2 linked regions of the Macaca fascicularis genome follow. The protein of the gene in region 2 binds, or shares a complex with, the protein of the main gene of each other region. Links are inferred from orthologs where the notes say so. Each region holds a gene or a part of one and is shown on either strand. Other genes may lie near its edges.

Region 1 (7,806 bases), on a different chromosome or scaffold from region 2:
ACTATCATGTGGAATTTGAAGACATTTCTCTCTGGGCAAAAGGGCTTTTCATAAGTGCAGGTTTTGAGAGTTGACTGGTAACACCCATACTTAAAAATATTCCTCCCAGATCACTTTTTGAAAGCATGAGATAAGAAGAATACAAAGCTGGAGTCAGAATTGCAGCATCATCATCAACATCAACATGAGTGTTTACTATGCACCAGAAACTGTTCTAAACATCACACATAAATCTACTAATTTATTGCTTCTATAAACTTGTAAGGCAGGTGCTATCATTAGCACCATTTGACAGAAAATAAGGTCCAGAGAGATTAGGTCACTTGCCTAAGATGACACAGCTCCTGGATGGTAGGTGTTGTGGTGTTGTGGACTTGAATTTCATCTTTCCCTTAGCCGGAACAGTCTATGTTATGTCACAGGAACAAATACCCCTTGAATCTCACAGTTTAATTCAACAGAGGGTACCTGTTCTGTATGGGTTAGCAGAGGGGTTCAGCTTATTATGCTAACTCAGGGACTAATGCTGACATAAGGTTCTTTTTGATATGCGCTTTCATTGTCATGATCAGTAATCACTACCAAGACAAAAGAGTATGGAACAGAGTCTAAACATGCATTGCTTCTGCTTGAAAGCAATGCATGTCACTTTACACATTTCACTGACCCAAGCACATCACATGCCACTCCCGACTTCAAGGCGACAAGAAAATGCACTTCCACCATGAGCCTATTAACAAGCAAACCAGACTGTTTGGCATTAATGATTAATACAAACATTCTCAGAGCTGGAGCCATTCGTGTCCTCCCTTGGCTTCAGCTTCCCTATTCACAAAAATAGCATGATCATTTTGTAAGAATCTCTTGTTGTAAGGATCAAAGGGCCATATTTGTTACAGCTATAATGAGGCGGAATGGTTGCATCCAACCAAAGCTTCCATCAGCTGAAAATATTGATCCCACCACAGGCAGCCCTGTAGCCCTCCTTACAGGGCTGTCTGCAGAATGGCCTTTGTCCAGAGGAAGGTACATGCCAATCTTTTCGTCACTCACACACCTCAGGTTTTGAAAGATACAGTTTTCACTTCAATCGACAACATGCCATAGTGGTCCTGGCCCTTGCTGGAAAGTTTGCTCTGGAACCACAAGCTGGTTGTTGAAAGCTCCAGACCACTTTAGCTTGACAGAGATTGCGAGGGTCTCTTTCTTCTAGGTCCTCCAAACCCTCTCTTTAAATCAAGTCAGGCCACCAGGACTGTTTACTTGGCTCCTCGGAGATGCCACAGACACTCCCAGGACGTCTGCTGTGAGTCAGGGAAGAGCTAAGCCATAGAACTTTGCCAACCACAAGCGCTGAGGGTAGTACAAAAAATACCCCTAAAAAGAGCATTTCCTAAACTTCTATGCAAACAGTAGTAACCACACTGCCAATCACCCTCCAGAATGCTTTGCTAGATCCTTTCCTATGGGCCATTTGACCCTTCCTCACTCCTCTGCTAGCCTAGGCAAGGCACTCCATGAGGGCGGGGACTATCTTTTCATGTGGGTTTCACTTTGCGCCTGGCACACAGCACGTTCTCAATAAAGTTTCCCGCATTAAGACGCTTCTCAGGAGTCTTCATGTAAGTTCATATATGATGACTTCCTTGTAGAATTGTGTCTATGAACATGCAATTAGGCTAGTTGAACTTTAGGCCCTTAGAGTCTATAAGCTAAAATAAGGCCCAGATGGGGGTGGGGAGGAGGAGTAGGCAGAAGCGGAAAAGGAAGACATTTCAGGCAAAGGGAGCAGATGTCCAGCAGGAAGGCACAAGGTAACAGGGGGCACGGGGGGCGCACCACTTTTCCTGGAAGGAAAAAACAGCAGATGAGAGAAGGAGTTGGAGCCAGTTACCAGTAGAGGTCTATGTTCAAAGTCCAGAAGGAAGAAACAGCAGGGCAGGGGACAATGAGAGGAAGAATGAGAGGAAGGAGGAAAGGAGGCACGGTGTATTAAACTCTGCAGCCAAGAGCGCTAACAAATGAAAGGCAGGATGGGTGGAGGAAATGTACTGTGTTTCAAAGCTTCCTCTTATTTATGGGTGCGCCTGGGCCACAGAGGAGTAAACCGAACGAGGGCTTCCCGGTTCCCCACCGCCCGCAGAGCTGGCGGAGTCCCGCCTCGCCCCGTCACATGGCCAGAGGCGCCCTCGGCACGTGACCTACCTCGCGCTAGGCCAATCAGCCTCTGCAGGGGCGGGTCCGCCGGGTCCGCGGGGCGGGAGTCTCCATCGGGGCCGCCTCTTCTCGCGAGCCTTGCGGCGGTCGCTCCTCAGCCGCCCACGACCCGGAGCGAAGGTCTCGCGAGGCTTGGGCGCTGCGGCGGCAGGAGGAGGACGGGGAAGGACGGAGCCGAGCCGCGGCTTCCTCCCTCGCTCACTCCCTCGCGCGCTAGCCCGCCCCCTCCCTCCCTCCCCTCCCTTCCCCGGCCCCGGCTCTGGCCCCGGCCCATTCACTGTTGGGTCTTCTGCTAGGAGGATGTCGGGCTCGTCGCTGCCCAGCGCCCTGGCCCTCTCGCTGTTGCTGGTTTCTGGCTCCCTCCTCCCAGGGCCAGGCGCCGCTCAGAACGGTAAGCCGGGCGCCGGGGGCGGGCCGGGCGGGGGCTGAGGGGCGCCGGGGCCGGAGAGGGCCCGGCTCTGGCCCGAGGGGAAGCTGGAGCTCGGAGAAGGGTGCCGAGTGGGCGTCTGAGGGGCTGCGGGTCGGAGAGGAGGAGGTACCGGCCGCGGGTTTGAGGAGGCGCCCGTCCGAGCGGCGGGGGCGTCCAGGGAGAGCCCGAGGTGTTGCCGACTTGGGGGCTCCAAGTCGTGGGGCTCGTCGTGCCGGGTCGGCGAGGGGACACGGAGGAAGCCGACGTGAGGAGCTGGAGTAGCGGGGGCGGATGAGGAGGGGGCACAGCTCTTAGGGAGGGTGGCACAAGACGGGCGTTTGTGTTCCGGGCGACGGGGATGGTGGTGTCGGTCAGGCCCCCTGGGAGCTGGGGTCGTCCAGGATTCTACTGAGGCCCCGTAGGACTGGTGACATCCTTAAAAATAAGGGAGAAATTGGGGGGAAGAGAGTCCTGAAGCACACTAATGGTGAGCTGAGTACTAGATACCAAAGGAGGGGGTAAAGAATCAGGGAACCTTGGATCTGGGGATAGAGGGAGGGTGGGTGGGAAGATAAGGGAGTGGGTTGACTGCAGTAGGGGACCTGGAGAGAGAAGCAGCAGTATCTCCAAATGAGCTGGGGGAAGAGGGCTGGGTTTGCTAAAGAGGGTGGAGTGCTGGGCATTCTAGGGTAGTGGTTGGGAGAGCAAAAAGGAGTTTCTAAATAAGGAGAGGAAAATGAGCAGAGGATGGAGGGAAAGGGTTGGAACTGAGGTGGGGGAATATTTATTAGAGAAGTAAGGAGGCCTAGGTATAGAGATGGGGGTGGGGGAGACGAAAAATAAGGGAAGGGAGTAAAATGCAGGAAGTCGGGGGTGTAATGTTGGTTTGCAGTGTGGAGGATAAATTAGGGAAGGGAGGAGTTGGTATGTGGCAAATGCTGTATGATATTGGTCGGGCCTTTGGGAAGACAGGGACACATAGCTGCAACTAACTGCAGTGGTGGGATTGAGGGCAGTGACTGGCAACAGGGAGATGGGGAAGTGGATTTTTGAGATTTAAAAGTTTCAATACAGAAAAGATGTTATTTCCGAGGAACCTGAAAGTGGCCCCTGGGAGGTGGTACAGTAGAAACGAGAGAATTACTGGGTTTTGAATTGAAGCTCCTTTGAGAAGAAGGAGAAATGGTGGGGAATCATGGGCATAGGGATCTAAACAGAACAGATTCTGATTGAAGGCATGTGTTACCATTCAGCTGCTGAATTGATCTTTCAGAAGTGAGTCTAGGATTGTGAACCTGTTTCTGCCCTTGTGGAAACAGCCGTTAAGAGGTTAAAGAATATTTTTTCTGTGAAGGAATTTATGAGAAGTCAGTACTGGAGAATGAACTATAAATTATTTTTGCTAATCTTTCAGTGTTTATTGTTATGCTAGAACAATTTAAGATTACTCTTATTAGAGAGGCTGCAATTTAAATTTTAAAGCATCAGTGATAGAGCCAGTGGAGGTTTTTGAGAAACTGAGTTTAAAATGCTGAATGTTAGAGGGAAAATATATAAATAAAAGATTGACATTATCCATCAGTTAAATATGTGTTTGTAGTACCAAATTTTATGTATGCTTCATGGCCTTGGATATCACTGCAGGCGTCAGGAAGGAAACATTTTTTCTATCTCTAGCATTGAATATGCTAAGTGTATTGGGTATTTTTCCTGTTTTCCTCTAAGTATGATGAGTCCACTGTGGAAGGCAGGGTAGAGTTAGTCTTAATTTGTCTTATCAGTTTTTCGACTGTGTCAACAACATGACTTAAAGAAGCCTAATGCTAATTTTAGCTATTCAGTTTATGGTAATAGCATAGTTTCATTTTGCACAATAGGTGAGAGATTCTTGATCTTAACGTGTTTAATCTCTGCTGGCATAGCTTTTTTCCAATGACTTATAATACGGTAAAATTGTAGTTTCTTAGCAACTAAAGCGAGGTTTCTGGATAGGCCTATAAAGACTCATCTGTCTGCTCAGTGATATGTGTTCTAAATACAGCATAGAACGGCCTTTCCCTTGAAATGAGCTTGAATTCAGTCACATGACATGACCGATGAAATGAAGCTGAGCTGCTGGTTGACCCAAATGAATGTAAATTTAATTCAAGGAAAAATGGCTATTTTTGAGTTTGAGTTCGTATAGTTAAGGATGCCATTTTATAGCTTTCTATAACATGTCTTATTATAATATTCACGCTTTCATTTAGTAATAAATAGCCCTGCAGTGATCTAACTTCATGTCATGGGGTTTGTATTTTCTTACAGTACTTTCAAAAAGGGATACCTTGTTTGTGCATGATGTTGAAATGTTAGAAATGTTAGATTTTCTATTTAAATGATTGGAGGAAAAAAAACTCACAAGTGTCTCTGAATCGGAAATGTAGTAGTTTAGGTTGAATATAGATGTTTTTCAAAAGATGTTTGTTTTATTATTCCTAAAATGAAGAATTTGGCCTGTATGACTCTCGAGGTCTCTTGAAGCTCCAGTGAGTTTCTGACCCATTGCTGTGGGCATTCAGGGCTTTCATTCAGATTTTGTTTCTCGTCCAGATATTTAAACTTGTAAGACCGGTTCCAAGTAAAATCCTTATTTGTTGACTTTTATATGTATCATCTAAATGGTAGTTTAAAGAAGGAACTTGTTCTAAAAAGTAACCTTATAAGACATTCAAAAGTATTGGACTGCAATTGAGTGAGTGTAAACAAAGCAGTATAATATGATAATCAGGAGTGCATGCTTTGGACAGTAACAGACTCAAGTTTGAGTTCCAGCTCTCAGTAGCTGAGTGACCTTGAGTAATGCAAACTTCAGTTTCATCATCTGTAAAATGGGAATTGCAATAAGGTCCATTCCCTAGGGATGATGTGAGGTTTATTAAATGAGGTAATGGCAGCTTAGCGCTTAACCTGGAATATTGTGAGTCTCAGTACATGTTAGCTATTACTATTATCCTTTAAAGAGTAGCATTATTTATTATTTATTTTTCTTCATGTGTATATTGAAAACTTGATTGTTAATGCTGCTGTCATGGTAACTAGGCCATTTGAAGGCCCCACATAGAGATTTGTGCTTTTGCTTATGTAACTTTCTCAGAAAAGTGACCAGCTGCACTGTGTCTGCAATTGCCAATTCTGGTGAGGAAGTTAATATTTTCAGTTGAGTTTCTGGGAGAGACTTTATGGCTTTGTTTTTTTCTTCTTTTTTTTTTTTTTTCAGTGAACCAAATCTTTCAAATGGGCCAGGTATCACTTTCTCATAGAATATTATTGTTGTGAATAAGAGAAATAGAATGTGGTGCCCAGCACACAGTGGGAGTGTTATAGATGTTAGTTGAATTAATAAATGTGGAGTGGTGTGTAAAAATGTAATATATTCATATGGAAAATATGACATCACATAATTAACACTGTTCAATGGAGGAAAATAGGGAATCTAATGAATCTTACTTTTAACGACCTAAATTTTAGAAACCATTTTGCTTGGGTGATACTAGATAGTTGTGAACTTTGTGCTTTGTAATAATGCCAGTATTTGCATTAGATGATTCATGGATCTTTTTCTCTTCTGTCAAGGGCTGTTTGCTTCAGTGGTTTGGCAATTTTTTCTCCCTGAGTACATTTTTAGAGGTATATTTGCTAATTGATTTTGTGTCTTCTCTTTGAGCTGAAATGAGCAACAGAAGACAAATCTTATCTACGGCAGCTGTGGCACAAATGACGTGCCAAATGTCAAGCAAAAAATTTTGAGATAATCCAAATAAGATTTGACCAGAAGAAATAGTTTGCCTTGAAATAAAGCCCTTCCTAAGGAGATCACAGGCTTTCAGTCTCTCAGGCTACTGGCTAAACTGTCACTACTGATATAATGGAGCACCCAGGCATGAGAAATTGGTTGGGTCTGGGAGGATAGGCCATGTTACTACATCAGGACCCATTCCCTGGGTTTGTTTTACAAGGTTACTGGATCCAAATTAGAAAGAGATACAGATGGGTTTTTATGTTGCCAGACGCAGTAGAGCTTAACCTGTGAATATACCAAGATTTAAAACCACAAAAGGAAATAAAAACCCTTAAATGTCAGGTTGGAATTCATTACAGGTCTGACTTCGCATGATACAGATCCTTATGAGAAATTAGACTGTTTTGAGGGAATCCCTTTGTTTTTTCTCATTAATACAGATCTGATGTGAAACAGTTTCTTTTGTGGATTATACCTTTAGACATTAATAAAAAGCAACATTATATTATCTTTATTTAAACGTTAAAATAAAGTTTAAATAAAAATAGTTATTTAAATTAAAAGAAAGATTTAATTGGACCTTGAAAGGTGACCAAATATAATTAGAAAAATGCTCTGTCAGTTTGAACATTGTTTTTCATTAGTCTGAGGTACTTTTTAAAAGTAAGATGTTTTGTGTGTAAACTCTGAAACTTTGCTGGATCTGTTTGTAAAGGTTTTTTACAAAGATTCGGGAAGGAGATAAAGTGCTAATATCTATTAAAATGAAGTATGTAGAAAAACAGTGAGTGGCCATGTTGGATACCATACAAGAGATGTTCAACAAAAGTTTGAATAAAATTATGCAAAGTAGTTTTGGAAAAGTGAATTTTATGAAAATTGTTCTGATGTATTCTATTCAATTTATTGTTTGCAGTGAGAGTACAATCTGACAGGATCAGAAGTAGAGAATGAAGTTGTAAGAGAAAGGGAAAGACAGAAGAAAGGCTGCAGTAGTACAAGGATGCAAGAATGAGGAATGAATCTTCGTTTGAGGAACATCCGGAAAAATAGAATCTGTCAGAAAGAGTAAATAGACCAGGGACCTCTAAAGTAAATTTGCACATCAAAGTTAAAATAATGGTGGAGAATCACCTCCTGTGAACAATTGGCTTAGCTTTCAGTATGCCTCTTTAAACAAAACATTATCATTTTATACGAATTTTTAAAATGTCGTTCATAATACGGAGTTTAATTTTAAGCACCTTAGATAATGCATTTGTAAGCTTGTTTGTGAAATTTTTATGGTTTTTTTTTTTTTTTTTTTTTTCAAAATTCCTAATTTTAGTTGGTAAGGATTGGCTTTGGGAAGACAGGAAACCCCTCCAGTAAAATTAATTGGTTATAAATGGTTACATAT
Region 2 (7,706 bases):
CAATATATGTTAGCTTGGATTAACCTTTCTTCCTGCCGTTGTCTTAGTCATGTTATCACTACAGTGTTAATGGTAATAAGATTTTAAGTATGATTTGTGGTACAAGTTGAGTATCTCTTATCTGAAATGCTTGGGAACAGAAGTGTTTCAGATTTCAGATTTTTTTTTTTTTTCAGATTTTGGAATATTTGCATGTACATAATGAGATATATTGGGGATGAGACCCAACTCCAAACATGAAATTTATCTATACATTGCCATATACACCTTCTACACATTGTCTGATTGTAATTTTGTACAATATTTTTAATAATTTTGTGCATGAAACAGAGTTTTAACTATGCCCCATCACACGAGGTCAGTAGTTTATGTAGAGTAACTTTCAAGTATGTCAAGTATTTGAACACTGGTTATTATATAGTTAGTAGCAAAAATGCATAAGAAACAAAATATATAGCATAAATGTTGCATTTATTTAAGAGTCCATAAATATATGCATATTTCTATATACATACGGTTATACATAATCTCTACATCATGGTCATAAATTATAGGGGAGGGATTTATGTTGTTTAGATGTTACCTAACAAAACGCACAGGAAAAGAAATTTAATACTCTTTAGTTCTTAGTTTAAGGACCGTACATGCCTCATCCTCATTACCTAGCACAACATTTTCAAATCTGGTACAAAGTTTCACAACCTAATGTCACTATTGTCTTATTTTCTCTGTGTAGACACATACGCGTGCACACACACACACTCACAAAGCTGAATGCTTATACCTTTACTGGTTACTGTAAGAAACTGATTTTTAAAATTTCTTTAAAATATTAATAATGATATGTGCCTTTAAAGTATAGTGAAGTTGTGTTTGCTCTTAAATGTAGCAAAAGCCCAGGATGGTGCAGCCATGGAAATGCAGCCACTGAAGAGTGAAGAAGGTGGAGATGGTGATGAAAAAGATAAAAAGAAAGCAAATTTGCCAAAAAAGGAAAAATCTGTTTTACAAGGAAAACTTACAAAACTGGCTGTTCAGATTGGCAAAGCAGGTATGATATGGAGAAGAAAATTAAGTGTTTTATTTTTAAATATGCTTTCTGCTTACAAATTGTCTTTTGACACACTTAAGCCTGGAAATTGTTACTTTGTGAATAGAAGGGGAGTTTGAAATATTTTCACTTCTAGCTACAGTGCACCAGGCCCTTTGAGTTACTATAGGTACTTAAAATTTGCTAATAAGCGGTCGGGTTAGGATTAATGCCTAAGTCTGTCCAGTTACAAGTCTATGCACTCATCTCTGAATTTCTGCATTAAGTGGAGAAAAGGCAACCTGTGAGATTATTCAGTTAAGATGAACTAATTATATTTTAATAAAATTTCATCACACATTTTGCTCATCTTTTTACTGGTTATCTATGAGAATTTTTAGTTATGTCTCTAATGTTAAAGTTCTGCACTGGAGTTATTGTAGTGAGGCTGAAGTTACTACATTATTGCCATCCCTAGAAAATACCTGTTAATACAGCTGTTCTTTAAGGGAAAAAGCAGAGCTCTAAGGTTAAAAACAGCATAACCTCCAGCAGTAGTATGTTTTTGGAAGAACACTGTGTGGATAAATAAGCATATATTATTAAAATTGCTTAAATTGTATCATTTTACTACTCTAGGAGTGTGATGGAAAAAGTGATGTTTTTGCTTCTGTCCTCAGTATGCTTATTATCTAATAGCAAATATTTGCTCTTTGTAATATGTAGCCAAGTGGTAATACTGACTCATGTAATGTTGGGGGAAAAGAGTGAATTTGAGGTGGTAAATCCACTTAGTAGACATTAGATTGGAATGTTAGAACCAGATATGTGGACTTACCTTTTCTCTTTTTTCTTTTCTTTTTTCTTTTTTTTTTTGGAGACAGGGTCTCACTCTGTCACCCAGGCTGGAGTACAGTGGTATGATCACAGCTCACTGAACCCTCGACATCCCAAGGCTCAGGTTATCCTCCTGCCTTCGCCCCCTAAGTAGCTGGGACTACAGATGCACGCCACTACACCCGGCTAATTTTTGTAAATTTAATAGAGACGGGGTTTCACCGTGTTGGCCAGGCTGGTCTCAAATGCCTGGGCTCAAGTGATCCTGCCACCTCAGCTTCCCAAAGTCTTGGGATTACAGGCGTGAGCTACTGTGCCCAGCTGCCTCCTTTTTGGGGGGGTTGGGGGTGGGAGACGGAGTCTCGCTCTGTCACCCAGGCTGGAGTGCAGTGGCACGATCTCAGCTCACTGCAACCTCTGCCTCCCGGGTTCAGGCGATCCTCCTGCCTCAGCTGGAGTAGCTGGTATTACAGGCACGCGCCACCATGCCCAGCTAATTTTTGTATCTTTGTAGAGATGAGATTTCACCGTGTTTGGCTGGCTGGTCTCAAATTCCTGATCTCAGGTGATCCACCCACCTCGACCTTCCAAAGTGCTGGGATTACAGGCATGAGCCACTGCACCCAGCCAGCTGCCCTGTTTTTTCATACACGTCAAAAAGCAGAGTATCCCACAAGATACATGGTTAACTGTTGGTTTACTAAGTTAATGAAACAGTAAGGATAGAGCAAAAAAAATTGAAGAAATAATAATTCGTACTATATAATTTTATTTATTATAATGTTATTTTTTAAAAACATGGGTTGAGTATTTAATTCCAGGTCTCCCCATTGATCAGATTTTTACCAGTTTCTCTTTAAGCATTAGGGAGCTTGCTTCTTGAACATGTAAAGCACCAGTTTATTCTAAGCTTTGGGTACTTCCTTATCATTGCGTATTATTTTTGTCTCAGTTTCAGTACAAGGCCAAAGATATAATTAAGTCTAAGGAAAGAATCCTAAGTGTTTTTCTCCCAGTTCTCCTGGGGACAAGACTGTACTTGGAAGCAAAAAATTGAATCGGACAATGTCAAGTTACAAGTTAGGTGCAAGAAAGAAGTAACAATTTCTCAGAGAAATTCATTACTATCGAGCAAGTTATAACTCTTTACAGTGGTTAATATGTATCTGGCAGTGGTTAGTGTCTGGAACTTTAAATAATCACATTTTTCTTTCATTTCTATTCTGAAAGGTCTTTTGATGTCTGCCATCACAGTTATCATTCTAGTATTATATTTTGTCATTGACACCTTCTGGGTTCAGAAAAGACCATGGCTTGCTGAATGCACACCAATTTATATACAGTACTTTGTGAAGTTCTTCATTATTGGAGTTACGGTTTTAGTGGTCGCAGTGCCAGAAGGTCTTCCACTTGCAGTCACGATCTCACTGGCTTATTCAGTCAAAGTAAGTAGAAAATTGTTCAGTAGACGTTGTTATGTTTAAACCCTTAGCTGGTATAGAAAATGCCCATCTAGTTACTCCTTTTCTGCTTCTGAAAGTGAGGACTTTCATAAACGTACACTATTTTCTCTAGAAATGTTGTCATTGATGCCCTGTACCTCCCACCAGTTGAGTGTCTCTGTAAGAGACCTGTGCATTCCACATAAGGGCAGCCTTGACACAATACTAAGCACGACTCTGCTAGGCACAGTTCTAGCGTGATTTTCGCTACGTGATAGTTATATTGTCAAGTCACGTCACCTCCTCTTTTCCATCTGTAAAATTAAGGTGAGCAAGTTAGGCTCATGTTTCTAAAAATAAAAACAAATTTAAAAATTATGATTTCCATGTGTAAAACCTTTCAGTTAGTTCTCATGACAATTAGAGTAAAATGCAAACTCTTTACCGTGGCCTGCAAGGCCCTGCCAATCTGGCCTTTGTTTACCTGTCTGCTCATTCTCTGCTCCTCTGGCCCAACCTCACCAGTCTTCCTGATGATTTTCAAACATCTCAACTGTATTCTTACTTCAGGGCCCACTTGTTCCTTCCTTTGAGTAACCTGCTCTCTTTCTTTATTCATAAGGTCCCTTCAAGTGTCACCTTCCTCTGACCACTTGATATACAGTAGCTCAGTCCTTCTTGTTCTCCAAGTAGAATACTAAGAGATGAGCTTTGATGGCTTTGCTTACTGCTGTTTACCTTAAAGTAATAATCTTTTGGAAGATTATTAATTTATTTTTATCAATTTTCTATCTTACGGAAAAGGTGGATTGCATTTTTTTTTTTTTTAAACGTAGCTTGGACAATTTTGAACTTTTTTTTTCAAAATGATCTTGCAGGTAAAAAATTATAACCAAACGAAGAATGCTGCTTTTGTAAATTTTCAAATGTTAATTACTAGTTCTCCTTAAGAAACATTGCTGACAGTGAGCAATATTAGTCATCGTTTCTACCTTTCCACTCTTCATTATTAGACCTGTCTTGATAAGAATGTTTTTTGCTTACTGTTTGAGTTTATTTTCTTTTCAGGCATTTAACAACTTTCATTTAAAAAATAAATTGGTAAATGTATCAAAGTGATAAGATATAGTATAATCAGTCATCTATTTGTCCTTTTTTGATATTTTAAAGTAATTTGAAAAATTTGGGGTAAATACAAGTTTTGGACACAGAACAGTCATTTTACCAAACTGTCATTAGTTCATTTTGAGTAGTCATTAATGATACTAATTTTTTAATTGATTAGAACGATACTGGTAGGATTGATGTATGTTTTTGGAATATAAAATTAGTAAGAACAAGTTAACTACTTTTTTAAGCCTTTCTTAAATGTTTATCTAGCTCTAATGTTACCAATTACTGTTCTTTTCACAGAGGTATAGTCTTTATGGATTCTCTGTTAGTGTTTCACAAAACTGAACATGGTTTCTTTACTGCAAAACTTCATTCTTCTCAACTTTAATATGTAAATCACAAGTAATTTAGGAAGTGCGCATCTGTTTTTCACGTATTTTTTCAAGGAACCAATTTTTTTGCAGTATCTTGCATATTAGTCATCACAGAAAACACTTTGTAAAATAACTTCATATAGTTTTTAACCCATTCCACATTAAGTGCTGAGAACTAATTATAAGGTATTTTGGCTTAAATGCCCTGTGAAACTACTGTGAAAACTGTTGGTTTTTTAGAAATGATTTTTTCTGTTGTAAATGAGAGAAAGAAGTGAGACACAGTTTGCTGCTAAGGATGAAAATGCCAAGTCTGCCAGCATATAGAATAGCTAAAAAATGACTCATTCTAGTTTTGATATGTTAACTCTTTTAGAATTAATAATAAAAATATCAAGCAATTACATACCCACAAGCTCTTTATTTTAGCTGATAAAGGCCATTTTTTCCTTGGAACTGATGTAAGAATCTTTTGTTTTCCACTTAATAGGGAGGCTTAATCCTTTAATATACTCTTACACTACTATAAGTACCACTATACAGATTGTCATTGCTCTTGTAATGTGAGGACATTTTGCAAAAACCGTTGGAGACATATATTCAGTGTTATTTGTTTATGGATGCAGGTGCCTGAACTGACTTACTAGGTTATGTTATGCAGCAATAAAATGATTGAAACCCCAGAAAGCTCTAGCATTGTGTTTAGCTTATTTTAATAGGTCAAATATGCTAAAAAAAAAAAAAAAAAATTTTAGTATTACATTGGTACTTTATACATTGTATTTATAGAAAGCTGGGAGTTTTAGTTCTAATTTTAAAACAATTTGTAATCATTTTAATGTAATGAGGTGATTGGTTTTATATGCAGCTTAACTTTTTTTTTTTTTTAATGTAGAAAATGATGAAAGATAATAACTTAGTAAGGCATCTGGATGCTTGTGAAACCATGGGAAATGCTACAGCTATTTGTTCAGATAAAACAGGAACTTTGACAATGAACAGAATGACAGTTGTTCAAGCTTACATAAATGAAAAACATTATAAAAAGGTTCCTGAGCCAGAAGCTATTCCACCAAATATTTTGTCCTATCTTGTAACAGGAATTTCTGTGAATTGTGCTTATACATCAAAAATATTGGTAAGGTTTTTGAAATAATTTATGTATATAAAAATTAATTTTTAAATCTATAATGATGGGACTATATGTAAGTCTTCAGACCCACCATTACTGTATGTAAAGTAAACTGAACTGTGTTAAGTTTTTAAAAGGCATATATTTATTTATATAATGGTTTTTAAATTTGTGTTATGAGTGAGATCTGCTGATCAACATAAACATTGTTTACTTACGTTTTTCTCCTCCTATATTTTGAATTTCCTGTGTTCAGAAACTCTCCACCCTTATAAGCAGAACATGTATTTAATTTTAAATTCTTGTTAAACTCATTTTTGAGAAAGATCAAGCTGTCTTACCATAGTAGGTCAGCTCTCAACTTAGAGAAAATTTTGAAGCCTGATTTCAACTTAAAATAACATGTTTTATATATGCTTGCCATGTGCTCTGTTTGGTTTCTCAGTAGTTCCTACCTAAAAGGTGGTGCTTAGAAACCTTGGTAGAACTAATGCAGTAAAGTAATTCTAGACATGTGCCACCATATAAAACAAAATTTTCAACTTTACAAGTTTTAGAAATCTTATTTGTAACAGAAAGCATACAATGTTATGTTTGACTTAATCTCTTCTAGTGATTTATGGATGAAAATCATTAACAAAAACAATATTGCATGCTGTTCATTAGGGAAAACATACATGAATTGGATGATTGCATTGGAAAGTTATGGGATCTTGGTTCTAGATCTGACTTTGCCTTTTACTAGCTGAAAGTCTGAGCTACCTTCTTTAATTACTGAGTAAAGATGATCACGTCGGCCCTTAATCCCATTGTGATGATTATGTAAGGTGGTATTTCTGAAGGCACTGTGAAGGAAATAAAGCTTCTCACTGCATTTAAGAGAACAATATTTTAATGCATGTACTTTTAATCCATAAAAATTGGTAAAGTAGATTTAATTTTGAATGATTTAGTACTAAAGTTAAGTGAAAACAGGAAAAGGGAATTAAAATTAAGTTCCACTCTGTATTAGGAACCAACTATAAACTTTATACATCTTATATCATTTAATTTTGGGGTCATAAGTGCTCCTGTTTTACAGACGCTGAAGCCAAGGACCACAGCAGTTGGGCAATTGTCAAATTTCATGTAGCTAGTAACTGGCAGGACTGAGATTAGAATCCATGTCATTCTCACCCCAGGCTCCTTTCTACCTTACTTTTCTGTGTCCTCCTTTAAAATGTTGATATTAGACAATTGTTCTGTAATTTTATTTTAGAATGTCGCATTCTGTTTTACATTATAAATTAAATGTTCATAGAGAAACAAGATGATACTAGCTACTAAACCTTTTTCTCTTACAGCCCCCAGAGAAAGAGGGTGGATTACCTCGTCACGTTGGTAATAAAACTGAATGTGCCTTGTTGGGACTTCTTTTGGATTTAAAACGGGATTATCAGGATGTTAGAAATGAAATACCGGAAGAAGCACTGTACAAAGTCTACACCTTCAATTCTGTTAGGAAATCCATGAGTACTGTTCTGAAAAATTCAGATGGAAGTTACCGAATATTCAGCAAGGGCGCATCTGAGATAATTCTGAAAAAGTAAGAGTAAAATGCTTAGATGAATAAATTGCTGACTATAGTTGCTTTATGGAATATTTACTGTATTGTTGTTGTTGTTGTCTTCTTTTTGTGAACATCAGGCATTTGATAGGACTTCAGAGCTTTTTAGCATATTTTATGGTATCCAGATATTTGCCCCTGCTATTCTGCCATTTTCACACTCTAGCTTCTC

Evidence for each region. Proteins that work in one complex are often made in the same cells at the same time.
Region 1: the proteins of ATP2B1 (region 2) and NPTN are in contact, whole or in part, in a cryo-EM structure (PDB 6A69), measured with the Homo sapiens proteins. The link is inferred for Macaca fascicularis from reciprocal best matches to the Homo sapiens genes ATP2B1 and NPTN. Residues at the interface, in NP_001353449.1 of Homo sapiens: Phe954, Asp955, Ile956, Asp957, Glu996, Arg997, Asn998, Val999, Glu1039, Gln1040, Leu1042, Trp1043, Ile1045, Phe1046, Met1049, Gly1050, Leu1052, Leu1053, Gln1056; in NP_036560.1 of Homo sapiens: Arg245, Ser246, Asn248, Arg332, Arg334, Pro339, Pro342, Phe343, Gly345, Ile346, Glu349, Ile350, Ile352, Leu353, Ile356, Ile357, Tyr360.

Annotation. Positions count from the first base shown.
Region 1 is NC_088381.1:50,552,940-50,560,745, reverse strand, and holds the start of NPTN (neuroplastin), read left to right. Parts: upstream 1-2,344; 5' UTR 2,345-2,517; coding exon 2,518-2,608; intron 2,609-2,637; exon of another isoform or gene 2,638-2,891; intron 2,892-7,323; exon of another isoform or gene 7,324-7,806. UniProt on the Homo sapiens protein: Probable homophilic and heterophilic cell adhesion molecule involved in long term potentiation at hippocampal excitatory synapses through activation of p38MAPK. May also regulate neurite outgrowth by activating the FGFR1 signaling pathway.
Region 2 is NC_088385.1:96,593,422-96,601,127, reverse strand, and holds part of ATP2B1 (plasma membrane calcium-transporting ATPase 1), read left to right. Parts: intron 1-889; coding exon 890-1,051; intron 1,052-3,097; coding exon 3,098-3,312; intron 3,313-5,691; coding exon 5,692-5,934; intron 5,935-7,271; coding exon 7,272-7,513; intron 7,514-7,706. UniProt on the Homo sapiens protein: Catalyzes the hydrolysis of ATP coupled with the transport of calcium from the cytoplasm to the extracellular space thereby maintaining intracellular calcium homeostasis.